Stegostoma tigrinum: one gene and its partners. The protein of the gene in region 2 purifies or fractionates together with the protein of the main gene of each other region. This does not show direct contact. Links are inferred from orthologs where the notes say so. Each region holds a gene or a part of one and is shown on either strand. Other genes may lie near its edges.

Region 1 (7,781 bases), on a different chromosome or scaffold from region 2:
GGATTAAACTCCATCTGCCGTTTCTGTGCCCAAGTCGCCAATCTACATCTTGCTGTATCTTTTCACAATCGTTGGCACCAACAGCAACTCCACCAATCTTTGTGTTATCTGCAAACTTGCTAATCAGATCACCCACATTTTTCTTGAGATCATTTATACATACAGACAACAGAGAACCTCAGACTGATCACTGCAGAATACCATTAGTGACTGGTCTCCATTCACCATTTCAACTCCCCCTCCCACTCCTTAGACTACACGTCCATCCCAGGCCTCCTGCAGTACCACAACAGTGTCGCCCGAAGGTTGCAAAAAACAGCATCTCATATTTCACTTGGGAACCCTGCAGCCCAATGGTATCAATGTGGACTTCACGAGTTTCAAAATCTCCCCTTCCCCAGCCACATCCCAAAGCCAGCCCAGCTCGTACCCACTTCCCTAGCCTGACCTCCCACCTCTCCATCCTCCCATCTCAAGTCCCACCCCCATCTCCTACCGACTAGCCTCATCCCACCTCCTTGGCTTGCCTGTACTGCCTGGACCGACCTAAATCTTCCCCAACTCCCCACCCACTCTCACCTTTACTGGCTCCTACCCCATCTCCTTGACCTGTCTGTCTCCTCTCCACGTACCTTCTCCTTTTATCCATCTTCTATCCGCCTCCCCATTTTTCCCTAATTATTTCAGAATCCCCATCCTCTCCCCCATTTCTGAAGGGTCTAGACACGAAACGTCTGCTTTCCTGTTTCTCTGATGCTGATTGGCCTGTGTTCATCCAGCTCTACACCTTGTTGTCTCCATTCTCCCCACTCTTGTTTGTTGTAGCAAAATGCAATACTTCACATTTATCCAGATTGAACTCCATCTGCCATTATTTTTTGCCCCATTGATCCATTTGATCAAGATTCCTCTGTAATCTGAGAAAACCTTCTTCACTGTCTACAATGCCATTATTATTGCTGGACCCAGATAACATTGGGTAGAATTTGAATTCAATAAATATCTGGAATTAAGAATCTAATGTGGCTCCAGACCCACAATGTGGCTGACTCTTAACTGACCTCTGGGCAATTAGGGTTGGGCAATAAATGCTGCCTAGCAGCAACACCCTCTCCTGTGAATGAATTAAAAAGAAACTAACCGTGCCTTCTATATTCTCATCCCAATCATTAATACAAATGACAAACAAAATTGGACCCAATTTGGAGCTCAGACCTTTCTCTCTGGAGAGAAGGAGGAAGCGGGGGTGACCTGATCAAGGTGTACAAGGTAATGAGGGGCACGGATAGAGTCGATAGCCAGAGACTTTTCCCCAGGGCAGGATTGACTGCCACGAGGGGTCATAGTTTTAAGGTGTTAGGAGGAAGGTATAGAGGAGATGTCAGAGGGAGGTTCTTCATCCAGAGAGTTGTGAGCGCATGGAATACTTTGCCCGTGGAAGCAGAGTCATTAGTGACATTTAAGCGACTGCTGGACATGCACATGGACAGCAGTGAATTGGGGGGATGTAGGTTAGGTTATTTTATTTTGGGATTAGGATCATTCCACGGCACAACATCATGGGCCGAAGGGCCTGTACTGTGCTGTATTTTTCTATGTTCTATGTTCTAAGACCAATGCCTGTGGAACACTGCTGGTCACAGGCCTCCAGTCTGAAAAGTAACCCTCCACCAATATTGTGTCTCCTGTTGTTAAGCCATTGATGTATCCAATTGGTACCACGATGACCAAGGCTACCGCAGCTTGGGAACAGCCACCAGCACCAAAATCAACCTACAATGATGCTCTAGCTCCATATCTGGCATTTGTGGCAGAACTTGCCTCTCAAAAATTGGCTTATTCAGCCATCAGTGAAAGGTCCACTACATCCCCATCTTAAATTAATTTGTTTACTGTGTCCATTGTCTTCTGGAGATGGAACTAAGCTGGAATGAGGGATAGCCTTTTTCCTCGGAATGAAAAATGGGCAATGTAATCTAGTTGCTGCTGGGACAGAAAAACACACCCACAAGCAAGAACACATGAAATATTTTCAGATAGTTGACATCAGGCAAGAGCCAGTGAAAGGCTCCTTGTAAGGAATGGATTGAGGAGATCTACAACGACGGCCTTCCTTACCGTAACACTATGAGAGAGTAAACGACACACCCCAAGGAGACACGAGGATCAAAAGACAAAAAAGTTTCCCTCACAAACGAAAGATACGATAATTAAACGTTTACTAGTCACTAACTAAATGCAGCAAATAGAAACTTGCCGGGATTGACTAACTCGAATCCAAGCCTTTGGAAAAGAACAAAGGCCTTCAAACTTGCAAAGCTAAATATTTAAAATGTTTTACAAGACCGTGATCCGATAGAGATGCCTAAATGGAAAAAAAATTCTCACTCGTTTTATTAAAAAAAAGAGATTTACTCAAAAAAAACTCTGGGTAATATTACAATATTTTGAATACTATAAATGAAATGCTTTTGACTCCGAATTGAAAAAAAATCTAACTCAATTTCCACCCTCACGAGAGGCAGGCGGTTGGGAACCATTTGAAATTGTCGTCGGTTAAACCGGCGCCGAGTTCCTGGGCTCCCTCATCGCCCGTCCGCCCACCCTGTCAGCAGCACAACGCCGAGGCTCCGGAGCCCGAACAGGCCACACTCAGGTAAAACGAAACCTATCCCTCCGTGTTTTTATAACGAAATCGTACAAAGGTTTTCCGTCTCAAACGACACCATTCCAAATTCTAACAAAAAAAAACCGGCGGCGGGGGAAAGGCGTTTGTTTTAATCCCGTGAAGAGCTGTTTCTTCGAGCCACCTCTCGAAATGCAAAAACCCGGATCCCTCGCAAATCAAACAAACGTTATCTAAGGTTGTTCCGGGGACCATTAACGATTTTTTTTAAAAAAAAGCAAAAGGCTGTTTTCCAACTGATTCTGCGACTCACCCTCCAGCAGCCGAGCTATCAGACTGTCCACATTCAACTCTCCGTCCGCCATTTTACAGCAGTCTTCAGCCGAGGGCAGCGGTAGAGGAGGGAGAGAGGAGGGGACTCAGTAACCCTGTCAGCACTGGAATAAAACACAGCAACGACGGAGAGGGAGAGAAGAGGGCAGCTTCTTCGCTGAGTAACCCTGCTAGTACTGGAATAAAACACAACAGCGGAGGAGAGCAGCTTCTTCACTGCGTAACCCTATCAGTACTGGGATAAACACGGCAACAGAGGGCAAAAGTGAATGAGAATGTTTGCTCATTGAACAAGTATTGCTTCCTCCTTACAGGGAAGTCTGTGGAACATTCTGGCCTTCATAGGATGCTTTTGTTTTATTCTTTCATGGGATATGTGTTTTGCTGGTTAGGCCTGCGCGTATTCCCATCCCTAATAGCCCGCGAAAAGTTGATCCATTGCAGTCCTTGTGGTCAAGGGACATGCCCGAAACGTCAGCTTTTGTGCTCCTGAGATGCTGCTTGGCCTGCTGTGTTCATCCAGCCTCACATTTTATTATCTTGGAATTCTCCAGCATCTGCAGTTCCCATTAACTCAGCCCTTTGGGCCTGCTTCACCATTCATCATAATCATGGCTGACCATCCAATTCTGATGAAGGGTCTAGGCCCAAAACGTCGGCTTTTGTGCTCCTAAGATGCTGCTTGGCCAGCTGTGTTCATCCAGCTCCTCACTTTGTTATCTCAGTAGCCAGTTCCTGCTTTCCCCCATATCCTTATACCCCTTTAGCTCTACCCAGTACTGAATTCCTTCTTGAAATCATGTAATGTTTGGCCTTATGAACACAACAGGCCAAGCAGCATCAGAGGAGCAGGAAGGCTTTCCTGCTCCCCTGATGCTGCTTGGCCTGCTATGTTCATCCAGCTTCACACCATGTTATCTCAGATTCTCCAGCATCGGCAATTCCTACAATCTCTGTAATGTTTGGCTTTGATTGCTTTCTATGGTAGTAGAATTCGACAAGCTCATCACTTGTTGGGTGAAGAAATTTCTTCTGATCTCAATCCCAATAGTTAACATTCCCCAGTTTAGCATTTACCATTACATCAGTAAGTTGACAGAGATCATATAGTCCAGGAGAGGGACGCTGTTGTTTCTATCTTAGCAGAAATGGACAGAGTTGGCATTTCTAGGTTACCACATTTTCCAACAATGCAGTGTCATTGACTGCGCATGTATGTGGTTCTGTGGGCCGTACGTCTAAACAGGGAAATGTCAAGAGCTAACATTTCACGAAAACATTGGTTTGCTGCAATGTCTAAAATATCATTTTGGTAAATACCTGGTATCCTGTCAGCAGCCAAAACTTATTCATCCTGCAGCAGTCAGATCTTCCCACTGTTCTTTATGCAATCACAACACACCTGTCTACTTGGAAACAAGCGATATCATTTGGGCACATGGCTCTCTTTGCCCTAAGGTGTGAATGGAGAAAATGCTGGCGATGAGTTCCATGCTGCCAACATGGGAACATCAGAGAGAAGATCAGTGGTGTACTAAAGCAATGATTACCCTGCCTCGATTGCTCAGAGGACCCCTCAAGTACTCAAAAGTTCAAGCGTCCAAGAGTCCTCTGTGTCACAGAATTGTTACAGCAAATAGGGAAGGCATTCAGCCCATCATCATTATCATGAGAAACAAAGCCCTTGCCACCGTATATCTGGAGACTACCTTGAAATGAACATGAGGAAGGGAAGCAAGTGGAAGCGTGGAAGAGGAAGACAGAATCCCTTCATTGCAGTTGGGTGGTTCATGATTACCAACTGAGATTAATTTCTGAACATTCAACCAGCAGCATAATAGCTCACAATCTTTATGCTGTAATAATTAAAATGATAAAGCAACACAATGTGTGTGTGCTGGCTGCCTCAACAGGAGTGGATGCAGCTAAATGGAAATCATTATAGAATCCCTAGAGTGTCAAAATAGGCCACTCAAGTCCTCACTGGCCCTCTTGAGCATCCCACCCAGACCCATCCCCCTCTAACCAACCTAATCGACTCATCCCTGAACACTATGGGCAATTTAGCTTGACCAATCCACCTAGCCTGCACATCTTTAGATATGGGAGGAAACCCATGCAGACTCAAGGAGAATGTGCAAACTCTGCACAGATAGTTGCCTGAGGCTGGAATCAAACCCAGATCTCTGCGCTGTGAGGCAGTAGTGCTAACCACTGAGCCACCGTGCCACCCCATTCATTCACCTCCATACCCCATGTCTGAAAATGGTAGAAGGCAATCAACTCTTCCCCCTTAATTCCTTCAAGTTTTCATGGGCCGCACTGGCTGAGCCAGCATTTATTGCCTGTCCCTAGTTGCCCTTGAGTATGTGGTGGTAGACTGTCTTCTTGCACTGCTGTCGTCCACATGCTGTAGGTGGACCCACAATGGCTTTAGGGAGGGAATTCCTGGATTTTGACCCAGCAACAGTGAAGGAATGGCGATATATTTCCAAGCCAAGATGGTAGGTCACATGGAGGGGAACTTGCAGGTGTTCCCAAGTAACTGCTGCCGTTGCCCTTCCACATGTGAGTGATTATTAGATTTGGGAGGCAATGTCTAAGGAACTTTGGCAAATTCCTGTAATGCATCTTATAGATACTGCACACTACAGCAACTGATGTCGATGGTGGAAGGAATGAATGCTGTACCCATCCAGGAAAGTGGGGTGTATTCCATCACACTCCTGACTAGTGCTTGTAGATGATGGACAGGCGTTGGGGATTCAGGAGGTGAGTTACTTGTTGAAATATTCCTAGCTTCGGACTTTTCTCTTGTAGCCACTATGTTTATGTGGTGAGTCAGTTGAGTTTCTGGTGAATGCTAATCTCCAGGATGTCGATAGTGGGGGATTCAGTGATGGTCACACCATTGAATGTCAAAGGATGGTGGTTAGATTGTCTCCAATAGGAGACAGTCACTGTTTGGCGTTTGTGTGGCATGAATGTTATGTGCTACTTGTCAGCCCAGATTTTGTTGCATTTGAACATGGACTGCTTCAGTATCTGAGAAATCCTGAATGGTGCTGAACATTGTGCAATCATCAATGAACATTCCCACTTCTGTCCTTATGATGGAGGCAAGGGCGTCAATGAAGCAGCTGAAGGTGGCTGAGCCTAGGATACTACTCTGAGGACCACCTGCAGAGATATCCTGGAGTTGAGTTAACTGACCTCCAACAACCACAACCATCTTCCTATGTGCCCAGTATGACTCAAACCAGTAGAGAGTTCCCCATTGATTGGAGTTTTGCTAGGGTTCTTTGATGCCAAACTCAGCTGGATGCAGACTTGATATCAACGGCAATGTAATTCAACTCTTTTGTCCATATTTGAACCAAGACTGTAATGAGGTCAGGAGCTGAGTGGCCTTGATGGAACCCAAGCTGTGCGTCACAGAGCAGTTTATTACTGAGCATGTGCTGCTTCATAACACTACTGATGATACTTTGCTGTCCATCTCTGCATGTGCTTCAGCCAATCTGCCACTGAAACTAGGGTTTGTAAGTTGCACAAGCTTAGACAATGTACCCTTGATCTTATTAGTGAGAACAAATTATGGCAATGAAAATAATTTAGGGGCTGAATAAGATGGATACAGAGAAACCACTTCTTCCAGTGTAGAATTCCAAACAAGAAGGGCTAATCTTAATTTTTTTTGGATCACTCATGGGAAGTAGATGTTGCTGGCTAGCCAGCATTTGTTGCCTGTTTGTAGTACCATTGAACTTATTGGCTTGCAGGCTGTTTCAGAGGACATTTGAGAGTGAATTACATTGTTGTGGGTCTGGAGTAACATGTAGGCCAGATGAGGTGAGAATGGCAGATTCCCTTCACTGAAGGCCATTAGACAGCTTTTTCCTCATCCATCAGCAATGGTTTCTTGGTCGTAAGTAGATTCTCAATTCCAGGTTTTTATAAAATTGAATTAAAATCCGCCAACTACCGTGGCAGGATTCAAACCTATGTCCCAGAACAGAATTTTTGGAGGGATAAAACAACTAGGCCATCTCCTCCTTAGTTGAACAAAACCATTTAAAAATGCATTCAGGAAAAACTTTTTCATGGAAAGGTTTTTGTAAATCTCAAATTTTCTTCAGAGAGAAGTTGATTTCCTGGGTCAATTGAATTTTAAAGATAAATTCATAGTATCATTTGATGCAAGCATAATGTGACATACGGACAAAAGGTGGGTAAACTGAGTTAACATGCAGATCACCTATGGTCTATGGCAGATGGTGGAATAGGCCCTGGAGGCTGAATGACTATCTCCTGTTTCTATATTCACGCTGCTGTGATCAGTCTGGACTTGTGTTTGATGTGTCAAATTCAGGTGAGTACGTTAAGAACACATGAAGGCAGTGAAGAGAAAAGTGTGTGTCTAAGAAGTGAGATATGGAAAAAAAAATACTGTTTTCGCTTTGGCCTCAAGTAATCCAAATCGAAATGATATAGAGAACATTATCATAGCCCCCTGCACAAGGATAACATGCAAAGTTGAAAAATGGTCTGTGCTTTTGTAAGGGGTTTTCATCCTTCTCTAACAGCTATTGTATTTGTGTCTCAACTACTCATGGACAGATCCACTGATATCACAGCAGTGTTTTCCTCTGACTGCTGCCTTCCACTGGCTGACTGTCATTTATTAGAAGACTTGAAGATTGGCACATAGGGAGATACAGAATCTAAACGTAAAACTACTGACGCTCAGAAAGCATCATGGAATTCAAGACAAATTTGAAATGTTGAAGCATCATGAAACTCCTGGTTCCATGATACACTA
Region 2 (7,460 bases):
TGTCACACTCCAATTATACTTGCTGACTACTGGTGGCACTATATTGCCTCAGTTTTGTGCTATGTGACTTCTTAACCTATTCAGCAGCGAAACCTTCATTCCTACCAACTATATATCTCTGTTTCATATAAATTTGTTTGTTTTTACTGTTAAGTGATAACATGTAACATTAAACCACGTAAAAATAAGAGAAAAATATTTGGCTTTAAAATGGACATTGGGTTATATCTGAAAACCATGTGCAATTTTCATGACAAAGGTACAGCATGAGAGATTACTAGTTACATATAAAATTGTGCTTTCCAGAATTTAAGTTGACATTTGATCTCTAAGAATAATTTAGTGAAAGTGTATTTTACCTGAAAGATTTGGAGTTATTGGCCAAGCAGTCTATCACTATAAAAAAAACTTCATTTGCAGTATATAGTACTCTCTGTGTATTTCATGATTGCACTTCACCTTGGAATGTTCCTCCTGAAAAAAAGATGCTGGAGTACTACTTAAAATGTTTGTTTTTCCTTGTTTTGTCTAGTCTCCTAAATTACATGTTACTACATTTTCTTTTCCCAAGTTACCTGGACTGACTTGTCTATCCAAAGCAACAGGAGTCCTCAATTACATTTTAACTGTAAATATAATTGGTCTCAGATATTTCTCATGTAATTGTATATATAAATACAAGTTCAATCTAAAAAAAATCAGCAATTCAATCAGTAATCACTGCTACTGGCACTACTTTAACTCTAACCAACACTTATGAATCTGCAAACATCTGTTTCATAATCAGACCATTTGTCTACTAAAAATTGCACTACAGCTATTACATTAATGGAGTACACCTACAATTCAATGTTGTAAGGACTGTATTTACAATATGATCTTGAATATGGTCTTTAGGATACAGCATGGCTTTGAATCAATAACAGTTGAAGTTAAGATCATTAAAACTTCAAAGACAGAAGTAGCAGTAGGAGTAGGCCTTTCAGTTCTTTGAGCTTTGTCTGTCATTTAATAAAATCATAGTTGATCATGCAATTCAACTCCATTTTTCTGTATCATTCCCATAACCTTTAATTCCCTTTGTGAGGGTTGGTTAGCTCACTTGGCTGAGCGGCTGGATTGCAATACCCAGATTAAAGCCAACAGTATGGGCTGAATTCCTGCACCAGCTGAGGTTACCCTGATGGACTCTCCTTCTCAATCTCAGGTAAGGGACCTGAGATGTGGTGACCCTCAGGTAGGGCTATGGTGACTTTTTGTTTTAATTCCCTTAGTATCCAGAAATATATCAATCTCTGTCCTGAATAAACTCAATAACTGAACTACTCTGAGAGCAGAAAACTCCAAAGATAGACAACACTTTGAGGGAAGACATGTCTCCTCATCTCAGTTCTAAATAGCCAAATTCTCAGTCCAAGAACCTTAATCCTGGCTTCACAGCCACAGGAAATTGCTCCAGAATTCATCATACAAAGGCCCCTGAGAATTTTATATATTTCAATTAGATCACCGCCGAATCTTCTAAATTCTAGGGAATCTAGGCTTTGTCTACTAAAAGGTTAAACTGTTAATACAATTAAATCTCCAATTCTTGTTGTCATTAAAGTGAAAATTAAATCAACAGAAGTCTTTTCCCTCATTTGGACATTTTGCATTAGCAAATGAATAGTTATATTAACTTTGCTCCCTGTTTATAAACAATTTCCTAGTGATTTAACAGTACAGGATAATAGACTCCTGATATGTCTGAACTCTTCAACACCATTGAATTATATTTCCATAACCTGTGCAGAAGAAGTTCAGCAATTAAGAATTAGATCCCACGAGTTCTCTTGGTGTTAAAGATTTTCTCAGATTTCACTTTCCATGTTCCTGTCATGTTTACAGGCATTCACAGAAGCATTCAACCCTTATAAATTACTGGCTTTACTAATTCAGATTAACCCTTTTTGTTTAGTTGCACTGAATATATAATTCAAAAGGCGTGCAAGCACACTTAAATAAAACGACTTGCATTTGCATTGTGCCTTTAACGATCCCAGGATGTCCCAATTATCTTAAAACTAATCAAATACATTAGAAGAACTGTTCAACAGAATTTTGTTTTAAGATGATCAAATACACGTGTGGTAGTATCTATTAAGCAATAATATGTCCCGTGTCTGTCCGTATACTGTATAAAGTACAAATGTTCTGAATGAGAATCTAGTCTCAGTCGCACTAGGATCCAGGAGAAAGCCACTATACAAAAGGCCTGACTACGTTGCGTTTCCTGCGCGTTATTTCCCATTTCCCTGATTAACTGTCATTTTAGCCCAAAACGTCGGATCCGGAAAGTGTTACAAACAGGAAACGTTCCCCCATTAGATTCTTTCTCTGTTTTTTGAAAGAAAAACCGTAAGTTGCTGCTGTCATTCAGCAATTGCAGCTTTGCGCTGGGGAGGAGAGGGAAAAGGAAGCTGACTTACATTGTAACCCGTTTGCAGTTTTGTTGTTTCCTTGTCGCTGTCTATGTTTCCTCGTCTGTGATGTGCCGCAATACTGGATTTCACCAGCTATACATGTCACATCGTCTTGACCCACCGACAGTCACGCTGCAGGCGGAGCTTCTACACAATACCAGAGCGTGTATTCATGTGGATGTCGCCTTTGTGTGTGGACTCGCAACCTCTTGCTGTATATTTATTTATCTTAGTTCATTTCAGGGAATGAAAAATAATGTTCCGTCACAAGCTCTTAGTGCGATAAGATCGTTATGCCTTCCATTCGAACCCTCTTGGATTCCTGGCAGCTCCGGGAAATATTCTTAAGGCAGTGACTATCAATTTCGACAATTATGCTTAAACAAACCCACCTCCACAGTCATAAAAAATATTCTCTAAGTAGTATTGGTGCTGTAATAATTATGTTAAACAATTATAAGCTCTTTCTATTGGTGTCTTCCTTTCCTGCCTTCTCTCCTGTTCCATACTGACTTGTAATTTATACCAAGACCTAATTACCCGACCGACACCCTTCACACACAAAAAAACCCTACAGCTCCAACTCAAATCCTTCATTCGTTTAGGAAATGGGACACACATCGAAAAAGAATAGTTACCCCTGATTGGATGAATGTAACCCCAATCTGTATTTTACAGCCAGTGGAAGCTGAGAATCTTGGTGATTGACAGTCACATCATCGCGGCGTTCAGATCAAATATATGCCCTTTTTAAAAAAAAGTCAGGTAGAAATGAATGGGTCAGCTAAAACACTGGAGCCAAATCATTTCTTTAAGACCTGTTCAAAGCTGAACAAAAATATTTTGTCCGTCTGACTGATCCATTGCTTTTATGAGTATATTAGGAGGTAAAGATTGTATGATTGTTAACATAATATGGAAGAAATATTCATTAATAAATGTATTCTCACACAGTAACCATTGTTCATTATGGCTTGGAATGTTGCATATCATAATAATGTTACTCTGATGTTTGTTGATTTGGGAATAAAGTCACCATAAATACAACTGGACCAGAGGACTGCTCCCTTATTTGAGAGAGACACGGTTCGAAGTGGCTTAACCTGTCGGTCACCGCACCTCAGGTGAGGGGAGGAGTTGAGAAGAGTCCTTCATGGTAATCTCAGCCAGTGAGGGATATTAACACATTCTGCTGGTATCATTCTACATTGCAAACCAGATGCCCAGCCAACTGAGCTGTTGTTGTAGCACCCTAATTAAATTCTAAAGGGAGAATCTTCCCACATCCTGAATGATGTGGGCTATGGCAAGAGAATTGGGAAAATTGCAAGGGAAGTCAAGCAAGGCCTTTCTCAAGTCACACTTTCCAATTAAGTTCCAAACATCAATAGGAGATTCTTGCCAGTGAGTGGCAAGAGATATACTAATGGAAATTACCACTCATTATCACCTTAATTATTACACAATTGCAGCTCATTAAGAAGCACTCTCCTAGCACATACCAGATTGATGCTATACTCTAAGAATTCCAGACATGAAAATCAGAGTAGGTACCTCCAGACTTACATTTTGGATTTCCAGCACCAATGACTCCACATTTGGAGGTGTTGGCATCCAAAACATGCCTGTCTTGCCATGCCATCATAGTACATCTTTGATCCACTTCAAAGATACTTCAGTATTGCACTTCAGGGGCTTTCAGAGATTCTGCCAGAGCCAGGGATTCCAGTGGTGACAAGAACTTCCATATGCAGCCATAGGGAGAATTGGCATGTATCAGAAGAGAATGGTGAGCAGGGGTGGGTAGTAGTAAAGGAGGTGAGTTTAGGACAATAGTGTGAGAAAACTCAGTGGGATACATGAGGAGAAACCTTCCATAATGCTCAACAAAAGTGACACTTTTCTAAAACAAGTAAGATTCAGCCCTGAGTGATTCAAAGAAACAAAGAAACCTACAGCACAGGAACAGGCCCTTCGGCCCTCCAAGCCTGCGCCGATCAAGATCCTCTGTCTAACTTGTCATCTATTTTCCAACGGTCTGTGTCCATTTGCTCCCTGCCCATCCATGTACCTGTCCAAATATATCTTAAAAGATGCTAATGTGTCTGCGTCTACCACCTCCGCCGGCAACACGTTCCAGGCACCCACCACCTTCTGTGTAAAGAACTTACCACGCATATCTCCCATAAACTTTCCTCCTCTCACTTTGAACTCATGAACCCGAGTAATTGAGTCCCCCACTCTGGGAAAAAGCTTTTTGCTATCCACCCTGTCTATACCCCTCATGATTTTGTAGACCTCAATCAGGTCCCCCCTCAATGTCAGTCTTTCTAATGAAAACAATCCTAATCTATTCAACCTCTCTTCAAAGCTAGCACCCTCCATACCAGGCAACATCCTGGTGAACCTCCTCTGCACCCTCTCCAAAGCATCCACATCCTTTTGGTACTGTGGCAACCAGAACTGTACACAGTACTCCAAATGTGGCCGAACCAAAGTCCTATACAACTGCAACACGAACTGCCAACTCTTGTACTCAATACCCCGCCCAATGAAGGAAAGCATGCCATATGCCTTCTTGACCACCCTATTGACCTGCGTTGTCACCTTCAGGGAACAATGGACCTGAACACCCAGATCTCTCTGTTCATCAAATTTCCCTAGGACTTTTCCATTTACTGTATAGTTCGCCCTTGAATTTGATCTTCCAAAATGCATCACCTCGCATTTGCCCAGATTGAACTCCATCTGCCATTTATCTGCCCAACTCTCCAGTCTATCTACATTCTGCTGTAATTGCTGACAGTCCCCTTCACTATTCATTGGCTGTGAAGCATCTTGTGATGGCTTGATAATGTTAAGAACTACTCAAACTATCAAAGTTCTTCCTTAAATGTAAAATACAATTATAAATAGTGAATCCTGTTCAACAGTCAACAAGACAGTGGTTATGTTTCATATTTGGGTGAGTATGAGATATGTCTTTGTAGAATTTCTAGGGAGCCCCAAAAGAAATGGGTAAAATTCACAGAAATTAGATACTCCCTATCATTTTTGCTATTATTTAGAAACACAAAATGTTCTAAAGGCAAATAAATGCAAAATTACCCTGCAGGCATATTACCCAAAAATAAGCAACATCTTGACTTTTTTTCAAATGCATTGCATTTTGCAATTATAATTCTGCAAAGCCAAAAAAAGTCACAAGGTAGGATGCCTTTGTTATATTTTGTAACGTAGGTTTGTCCCTTTCATTTGAATGGGTTGAAAGGATATGGAAAACATGATGGAAGAGTAGGCTCCACTCCAATTTCATCAGAAAGTACAAAGTGAATGGGTCATTTTCACTTAAGAGGACTGATTCTTACTGAGACATTCATAAATGCAACTATCGACTGGCAATCAAATATTCCTTGTAACAATATGTACAATGATGGCTATGCATATTTAGCTTCAGGGACAAAGAAACATTAAAGGAAGTTGTTATTCATTATCATCAAGATTAACCATTTAACAAAGCTAAAGGTTCCAAATTCATCAACGTCTCAAAGTAGGGTGGAAGGCTGTGAGAAGGGTGCAGAGATGCTTCACTGTGATTTTGACAAGCCTATTGTGCAGGTAACTGCATAACAAATGAAGTATAAAGTAGATAAATGTGTATTTATCAACTTTGGTAGCAAAATCAGTAAGATTGATTATCATTTGAATGGCCATAGGCTGGGAAAGAGAGAGAGGTGCAGTGGGACACATGTGCCTTTGCATACCAGATGCAAATCATGCAGGTGCAACAGGTGAAGAAGGCAACAAATGGAACGTTGACCTTCACAGCAAGACGATTTGAGTAAAGGAGCAGGGATGTCTTGCTGCAGTTGTACATGCCTTAGTGAGTAAAATACATATCCTCAGTACTGTGTGCATTTTTTGTCTCCTTACCTAAGGAAGGTTGTCCTGATAATAGAGAAAAGACAACAGAGATTAACTCAGCTGATTCATGGGACAGCAGGTCTGACATATGAAGAGAGAATGGATTGGTTAGGACTATGTTCACTGGAGTTTAGAAGAATGTGAGGGCATCTCATGGAAACATAGAAAATCCTAAACAGGATTAATCAGGGTAAATGCGGAAAGGCTGTTTCCAGTGACCACAAGACCAGAACCAGATGTACATCGAGTTTTGAGAAGGTGTATATCTAAGGATACAGAGTACGCCATTTAGAACTGACATGAGGAGAAATGTCTTCACTGGGGGACTGGTGAATGCATGGAATTCTCTGTCACAGAATGCAGTTGAGGCCAAAACATTGAATGTTTTCAAACTGAGTTAGGTATAGCTCTTAGGGCTAAACGGAATCAAAGGGTATGAGAAGAGAGTGGTAACAGGTTGCTGAACTGGACAATCAGCCATGATCATATTGAATGGCAGAGCAGGCCCAAAGGGCTGAATGGCCTGCTCCTATTTCCTATGTTTATATGTCCAAAACTCCATGAGTTAAAAATCACAGACAAGGTCTTTCATATCTTGAAGAAGATGATACAAAAGTGTTGGCCACAGAAAAAATACTGAGGAAATAAGCCAACCTGTTTACGCATGCTTGGTCTTCATCCACTGAAGGTCTAAGATCAATGTAAATATTTCTGACCTATAAAGAAAATATTGTACCAAAAGTATGTCTGTGTTTTCTGATTATCCCTGATCAATGTATTTTATAACAAAAAAGAGGTTTATGTTGTCTTATTAATGGTGTTCAAGTTCCTATTAAATAATTCCAGCAGGGAGCTTTTGTGAGTTTTAAAATAAACAGTTCATTTATTCTCACACATTTATCCCGAATTTAAAACAGGTCTCAAGCACTCATTTCCCCACACACAAAGTTGGTTATAAGTATATGAATTCTCACAAATTATGGGGCAACTCCATCTCTGGTTTACATTCTCCAAACCCATCAAGCTCCCTCACAATTGTCTAAGTTTCAGTAAAATCACCACTCACTGTTCTGA
Region 3 (8,100 bases), on a different chromosome or scaffold from region 2:
TCTGCCTCCACCACCATCCCTGGCAGCTCGTTCCAGAGTCTACCACTATCTGTGTCAAAAAACCTGCCCCTCACATTTCCTTTGAGCTTTCCCCCCTCATCTTAAATGTACGTCCCCTAGTGTTAGATATTTCAACTCTGGGAAAGAGATTCTGAACATCAATACTGCATGTGCATCTCATAATTTTATGGACTTCTATCAAATCTCCCCTCAGCTTCCGCAGCTCCAGAGAAAACAACCCAAGTTTTTCTAGCCTCTCTATAGGTCATACCTTCTAATCCAGGCAACATTCTAGTAAACCTCTTCTGCACCCTCTCCACAGCCTCATCCTTCCTGTAGTGTGGTGACCAGAATTGAACACAGTACTCTTAAGTGTGTGTCCTAACCAAACACTTATAAAACTGCAACATGACATCCTGACTCTTGTACTCAGTTCCCTGACCAATAAAGGCAAGCATGCCATATGCCTTCTTTACCACCCAGCTACTTGCATGACTGCTTTCAGGGAGCTATGGACTTGAATCCCAAGATCGTTCTGTACATCAATTCTGTTCAGAGTCCTGCCATTAACTGTATACTTTTCCTTAGTATTTGATTTCCCAAAGTGTAGTTACTCACACTTATCCAGATTAAACTCCATCTGCAATTTCTCTGCCCACATCTGCGACTGATCTATATCCTGCTGTATACTTTGAAAACCTTCTACACTATCGACAACTGTATCGAACTTCGTATCATCCGCAAACTTACTAACCCAACTCCCAACATTTTTATCCAGGTCATTTATATATATATCACAAACGGCAGAGGTCACTGTGTGGATCTCTGTGGAACACCACTAGTCACTGACCTTCAGCCAGAAAAACATCCTTCCACCACTACCCCCTGCCTTCTATGGGTAAGCCAATTCTGAATCCATGTGGCCAAGTCACCATGGATCCCATGTATCTTAATCTTCTGAGTGAGCCTACCATGAGGGACCTTGTCAAAAGCCTTACTAAAGTCCATGTAGACAACACCCATTGCTCTAACCTCATCAATCACCTTCATCATCTCCTTGAAAAATTGAATTAAGTTAGTCAGACATGACCTGCCCTGCACAAAGCCATGCTGACTGTCCTTAATTAGGCCGTGCTTTTCTATATGTGATTTATGTAAATTTCGAAAGCCTTTGACATGGTCCCACATGGAAGGCTGCTCCAACAGACCCAATGGGATCCAAGGCAGGTTGGCAAAATGGATTCAAAATTGGCTTGCAAATGGGAGGCAAAGGATGATGGTGGAGGGTGTTTCGTAATTGTAAGCCTGTGACTAGTGGTGCACCACAGGGATCAGTGCTGGGACCCTTGTTGATTGTTAAGTATATTAGCAATTTGGATGTGAATGTAAAAGGTGTAATTAGTAAGTTTGCAGATGGTACAAAAACTGGTGGTGTTGTCGACACTGAGATGGATGGTCTGAGGTTATAGTCTGATATTGGTCAGCTGGTAAATTTGGCGGAGCAATGGCAGATGGAATTTGATCCTGATAAGTGCGAGGTGATGCATTTTGGGAGGTTTTATAGGGGAAGGATATACACAGTGAATGGTAGCTCCCTAGGGAGTACTGAGCAACAAAGAAACCTTGGTATACAAGTCCACAGGTCCCTGAAAATGTCAGTACAAGTAGATAGGGCAGGGATGAAGGCATACGGGATGCTTGCCTTCGTTACCAAGAGAGAAGACCAGAAGCAGAGAACTTCATAGAGCATTGGTTAGGCTACAGATGGAATGCTGTGTGTAATACTGGTGTCCACTCTATCGAAAGGATGTGATTGAACTGGAGAGGGTGCAGAGGAGATTCACCGGGATGTTGTCTGGGATGGAAAGTCTCAGTTATGAGGACAGGCTGGATAAAATGGGTAATGTTCCTTGGAGCTGAAGAGGCTAAGGCATACCTGATTGAAGCATACAAAATTACGTGAGGTATAGATAGAGCATATTGTAAGAATATTTTTCCACATGGCAGAAGGCTGGGGTTATTTTCCCTGGAGTGTTGGATGCTGAGAGGTCACGTCATAGAGGTTTATAAAGCCATGAGAGGCATGGATAGGGTAAATAGTCAAGGTCTTTTCCCTGGGGTGGGGGAGTCCAAAACTAGAGGGTGTAGGTTTACGGTAAGAGGAGAAAGATTTAAAAAGGATCGAAGGGGCACCTATTTCATGCAGAGGGTCGTGCGTGTGTGAAAGGAGCTGCAGAGGAAGTGGTACAGGGTTATCTCTGATCACAATTATAGCCTCACTGCGAAGCATCTTCCAGGGATGCCTAACCTGAAGAAGTTACCCTCCTCCCTCCGGACCAACCTCAGGAAATCTCTCTCCCACTGCAACTCTCTTGTAATTCGGTCCACCTCCCCCTCTCTCCCTATTTATTCCAGTTCCCTCTCCCCATCCCCCTCTCTAATGAAGGGTCTAGGCCCGAAACGTCAGCTTTTGTGCTCCTGAGATGCTGCTTGGCCTGCTGTGTTCATCCAGCTCCAAACTTTGTTATCTTGGATTCTCCAGCATCTGCAGTTCCCATTATCTCGACTTGAGGAAATGTTTCTTTTTGCCAAGAGGGTGGTATAGATGTTGGGGAGGCAATGGCCTAATGGCATTGTCGCTGGACTGTTAATCCAGAGACCCAGATAATGCTCTGGGGACCAGGATTCAAATCACGGCTGGTGGAATTTGAATTCAATAAATATCAGGAATTAAGAATCTAATGAAGACCATGAATCCATTGTCGACTATCAGGAGAAACCCATCTGGTCACTAATATCCTTTAGGGAAGGAAACTGCCATCCTTACCTGGTCTGGCCTACATGTGACACCAGACCCACAGCAATGTGATTAACACTTAACTGCCCTCTGGGCAACTGTGTTGAGCAATAAATGCTGCCTAACCAGCAACACCCTCATCCCGTGAAAGAATAAAGGAAAAAAGATATAAATGTGCTGCCTGAGAGAGTGATGGAAGCAGGAAGTCTCACAACATTTAAGAAGCATTTGGACTGGCACACAAAACGTCAGGGCATAGCAGGCTGTGGACCAAGTGCTGGTAAAAGGGATTAGCGTAGTTTGATGTTTGGTGGCTGAAGGGCCTGTTTCTACACTCTAAGACTCTATGACTATGGCCTATTCCTACTCAAGCGTAACTGGAAAACTCTTGTCATTTTTTATGTATTGAGTCCACTCAGGTATGCCACAGGTCTCTATGCTTGTCTGAGAGTGTCCTCAGCTATATACTGATCTCAGTAATGCTGAAAGAACTGGTCCAAGCCTGTCTTGTAGACATTAGAACTCTCATTTCCAAGTTTTCCTCATTTCTTCCTTGGGCCCCATTTACAGCACATCGACAAAGTACAAATTACAAACAGAAAGTGTTGGAGATATTCAACCAGGGCTAGGCCAGTATTTATTGCCCATCCCTAATGCCCAGAGGGCAAAGGCAACCACATTGCTGTGGGTTTGGAGTCAAATGTAGGTTAGACAAGGTAAGGATAACAGTTTCTTTCCCTAAAATAGCCAGATGATTTTATTTCTGACAATCAACAACAGTTTAATGTCGCCATCAGACTCTTCATTCCAGTTTTTTTTACTGAATTCAAATTCCACCATCTGCAATGTTGGGATTCAAACAAGATATCCTAAATTAATCTAGTCCCATTCGTCAGCATTCTCTAAACCCTTCCTATTCACATATCCATCGAGATGACTTTTAAATGTTGTAATTGTACCAGCTCCTCACCACTTCTTCTGGTAGCTCATTCTATATACGTACCAGTGTCTACATGAAAAAGTTGCCCTTTAGGTCCCTTTTAAATCTTTCCCCTCTCATCTTAAACCTATGTCCTCTAACTTTGGACTCCCTTCACCCCAGGGAAAAGACCTTGTCCCCAGAACATTACCTAGGTCTCCAGATTAACAGTCCAGCATTAATACCACAAGACCATCCAGGTCAATAGACTCCAGAGTTTAAAAACCAGACAGGATAGCACACCGATGCTTCATCAGAGGCTGCACTGAGGATGTTACCCAACATGGTAAGGAAATGTCTGCGGAACAACAAACCAGCTCAGCGAGCCAACCAACCTCAACACCCACAATCCAAGCTACAAATCTATTCCAAAACCTTAGAGGCCATCATCTTCCCCAGAAGGATAAGTGGTCTCAAAGTTTTGGTTATGGTTTGTCTTCAACAAACACAGGGAGTGCTGGAGAAACCTAGCAGGTCCACCAGCATCTGCTGCCTCACAGTGCCAGGAACCTGGTTTCGATTCCACCCTCGGGTGACTGTGAGGAGTTTGCACATTCTCCCCGTGTCTGCGTGAGTTTCCTTAGAGTGCTCTGGTTTCCTTCCACAATCCAAAGATTTGCAAGCTAGGTGGATTGGCCATGCTAAATTGCCCGTAGTGTCCAAGGATGTTTAAGTTAGGCAGGTGAGACATGGGGAATGCAGGAGGTGGGAGATGGGTCTAGGTGGGACACTCTTTGGAGGGGCAGTGTGAGCTTGTTGGGCTGAATGGTGTGTTTCTATACTGTAGGGATTCTATGAGCAGAAACAGTCAACGTTTCGAGTCTGGTATGGAATGCATTCAGAAGTGATATCGGAGTTGAAACATTAACAGTTCTGCTCTCCACAGAGGCTGCCAGACTTGCTGAATGCATCTGGCTTTTACCTCGGTGTTTGATTCAGATTTCCAGCAGCCACAGTATCTTGCCAAGGTTTTACTTCACACCGTAAGATACTTTAGTGCAGAAGTTGGCTCAGTTTTGCAGATGCTGGCCATTTTAATGTTTGTTTTGTTTTAATTTCAGATTCCTGGCATCATCTCGTAGCATGCTTGGTTACACATTGATGGGATAATTTGAGGGAGGTGTGTCAATGCGTGCGTGTCACTGACTGGGAGAGACAATGCCTCCAGGTGAGGAGGGCCCTACCTGCTGGCCCCGCCCACTCACTTCCGCCCGCCGCCGGACAGGAAGTGACGTCGCGGTGTCAACATGCAAAATGGCGGCCCATCATCGGCAGAATACCGCGGCCCGGAGGAAAGTCCAGGTGAGGGGCCTGCGCGACCGTCTCGGTCCCTGCTTCCCCGACCGCCCGGATGGGAGCCGCCACCTTCCTCACTTCCCGCTCCCCGGCGCCTCTCCACAGCCCTGCCCAAATCCAGCGCTTGCAGCCGCGATCGGGAGGAGGGAGAGGGGAAGAGGAGAGGCGATTAAGGGGGGTGGGAGGGAGAGAAGGGAGTGGAGGAGAGGGGATGTGGGATGGGGAGGAGAAGGGACGGGGAGTTGTTGGGAGGGGGTAAAAGAGAGCAGATTGGGGAAGTTGTGGGTCTGGAGGGAGGGGATGTGGGAAAGTGGTCAGGAAAGAGAGAGAAAGGGGCTGGGGATGGGATAGAGAAAGCAAGATGGGAGAGTGAGGCACTTTGTGGGGAGAGGGGTTCACGGCCTGTGCTAGGGCCCTCTTCCCAAATCTCCCCAACCCCCTTTTTTTTGCTGTCCCCACCCTGGTCCACTGTCATGTTTGCAATATTCTAGTTTTTCTGGAAACCAGTCCTTTCTTGCTGAACTTTTGTGTCCAGGAGTCATCTGTGATCTGCTGTTTGTTTTATTGTAAGACTTAATGTTAGAGATTTGAAACAAAAAAAAATCACTGGAAAAACATGGTAGGTGAGGAGAAAACAGAGTTAATGTGTCTGACCCTTCTTGAGAACTGATTAATTCTGAGCTATCACTCTTTGGGACCTGTGTTTCAGTGGTTTCAGCTTCATCTGCTTTCTCTCCCATCAATTTAGTTTTGTTTGTACAGTTTCCTTTGTATTCTGTGTGGCAGTGGTTTGTTGAGTACTTTTGAAGTAGGGAGGGAAGAGCCTCCTTTGGCACAGAAACACACTAGCATAACCCAAAGTGGGCCAGATGGCCTGTGTTTGCTGTGAGTTCTGTTAAGACTTTTAAATGGTATTATGCCTGTGCATTACTTGTAGCCTGTTGCTTCAAATTGCTGGTATCAATTACTCCATCAGCAGCAGTGCTGCAGTTATTTCATCATACTGATGTTCTTTTGCTCAGTATCCTAGATTTTGCACCTCAGTTTGTGTACTTTCAGGTAAGTGATCTTTTGCAAGTTTCCTGTGCAAAATGTAAGTCTTCACTATTATCTTCATCTGCAGTTCATATATTTTTCAAACTTACCTTGTATTTCAGAAGACCCAACATGCACTCTGTAGAAGGGCAGAATAATCTGTAGTGTTTGAATACCTGAATGGCTTGATTTGCAATTAGAATCACAAATTGTGCATTTTTTCATTAAGTTTGTTGGACCATGGAATGTGTTGTCAAAAAATGTGGTTGCACCTTGTCAGGGAAATTTGTACGAATCTTTGAAACAGTAGAGTGCATGGCAATGGGGAGAAAGTGGTACTCAGATGAATAATAAGTTGCTTTTGCAGAGCACAAGTGCCTGCACTTTTGGGAGCTATAGGGCTTCTCTTGTGATGTAAACGTCCATGGTTCCTTTATAGTCAAGATAGAGATGTTTTCTGAAGTTTGTGCGATGACACTTAGGTAACTGGTTTTCTGTGAATGAACATGTTAAGCTCTGTGAGGATTAATATTCTGGTTTGCTTTGCTATCTATTTAAGTGTTGATTTAAAACTAATTTGGTTTTGAAATAAACTGTAGAAAATCCTCTTGCTTCCAGTGACATTGACAAACTGTTGAGCTTTTGTTAAATGCTTTATGAATTTGTCTGTACTACTTTTTTTATCTTGACATCCTGCAACCTCTTCAGCGAGCCAGTATTGCACATTCCGAAATGTACCAAGTGCAAAACAAGGAAACGGTTCGTAGTCACGGAGGTATTGTGCTGGGCAGTTCTAAATGGGTCTACAAAGGGTGTCATGACGGGCTATGCAAAAGACTTGAGAAATTGCTACCAAGGCTGAAGGCATCGTTTATGCTGAATGATTCAAGAAGCTGATAAAGCATTAGCTGCTGAGGTGATTTGGTGGCCTACATGTAGAGGGAAACATCCAATATTTTATTGTGGTCTTTCTTCGTCAGAAGTAGCCCCAGCCTTAACTATTAACTTTTTTCCCCTCTCTTGTCACACAGTTGTAGACTTATTAAATATTGCCAGAGTTTTGTTATTTTCAGCTTTCAGTATGTGCAGTCTGTTTAAGCTGTGATTTTTCTCAGACGAGAGTTGACAGCTTCTGATCTGTTCAAGATTGTCAGGGTTTTGGATAGAGCAGGTAGGAATTGTTACCTTATCTAGATAATGGGAACTTAGAATCCATAGGTTTAAAATAACTGGCAAAAGAATTAGAAGGGAAATTACAAATGTTAGTACATGTGGTTGTAAAAACCTGGAATGCACGGTTTGATAGGGTAGTGGAATGAGATTCCATAGGCAGTCAAATAAAAGCAAAAAGTAAGCTACAAAGTATGAATCTGAAATAAAAGCAGAAAATGCTGGCGCACCTCCCCATGTCTGGTACAATCTGTGGAGACAGTAACAGAGTCAATGTTAAGTCCAATATGACTGAGTCCTATTGGATTCAAAACATTAATTCTATTTTTTCTTCTCCATAGATGCTGCAAGTCATGAGTTACTTAACAACATTTTCTGTTTTTATTTTGAAAGGCAATTTAGATTTGAATTTAAAGGATACAGATTTGCAGGGAGCTGATGAAAAGGCAGAATTGTGGGGCTAGATTGGACAGGTCTTTTTTAAAAAAAAGACCTGTCCAATTCTCTTCCTTTTGGTCCAGCCATATTCCATGATTCTGCGCTATGCAACCAGCGCATTTTTGATGCAGTATGACAACTTTGGATGTCGTCATATTGTCTGGTTGTGGCCTCTGCTGTTTGGTTTGCATTTTAACATGTAGAGATTCAGGTCCTGTTGTTACAGCTGACATTGAGTCTGAAACAGTTTGTGATAGCAAATGTGTTACTGACAGCAGATAAAAATCACTATATAATGGTCCTGGAAACAGCCTTGCAGTACCTTAGTTCCCATGACATTGTATCACCTTGTGGTGTGCATGCGCTGCTGTGATCGGACTAGTCA

Evidence for each region.
Region 1: the proteins of neurabin-2-like (region 2) and ppp1cb purify together in Homo sapiens (affinity purification with mass spectrometry; 4 studies listed by BioGRID and IntAct, with this or other methods). This does not show direct contact. The link is inferred for Stegostoma tigrinum from reciprocal best matches to the Homo sapiens genes PPP1R9B and PPP1CB.
Region 3: the proteins of neurabin-2-like (region 2) and WD repeat-containing protein 48 purify together in Homo sapiens (affinity purification with mass spectrometry; 3 studies listed by BioGRID and IntAct, with this or other methods). This does not show direct contact. The link is inferred for Stegostoma tigrinum from reciprocal best matches to the Homo sapiens genes PPP1R9B and WDR48.

Annotation. Positions count from the first base shown.
Region 1 is NC_081357.1:18,405,533-18,413,313, reverse strand, and holds the start of ppp1cb (serine/threonine-protein phosphatase PP1-beta catalytic subunit), read right to left. Parts: upstream 3,077-7,781; 5' UTR 2,992-3,076; coding exon 2,940-2,991; intron 2,657-2,939; exon of another isoform or gene 2,562-2,656; intron 1-2,561. UniProt on the Homo sapiens protein: Protein phosphatase that associates with over 200 regulatory proteins to form highly specific holoenzymes which dephosphorylate hundreds of biological targets.
Region 2 is NC_081384.1:21,255,940-21,263,399, reverse strand, and holds the start of neurabin-2-like, read right to left. Parts: upstream 3,070-7,460; 5' UTR 2,469-3,069; intron 1-2,468. UniProt on the Homo sapiens protein: Seems to act as a scaffold protein in multiple signaling pathways. Modulates excitatory synaptic transmission and dendritic spine morphology. Binds to actin filaments (F-actin) and shows cross-linking activity. Binds along the sides of the F-actin.
Region 3 is NC_081355.1:148,392,361-148,400,460, reverse strand, and holds the start of WD repeat-containing protein 48, read left to right. Parts: upstream 1-5,004; 5' UTR 5,005-5,030; coding exon 5,031-5,078; intron 5,079-8,100. UniProt on the Homo sapiens protein: Regulator of deubiquitinating complexes, which acts as a strong activator of USP1, USP12 and USP46. Enhances the USP1-mediated deubiquitination of FANCD2; USP1 being almost inactive by itself.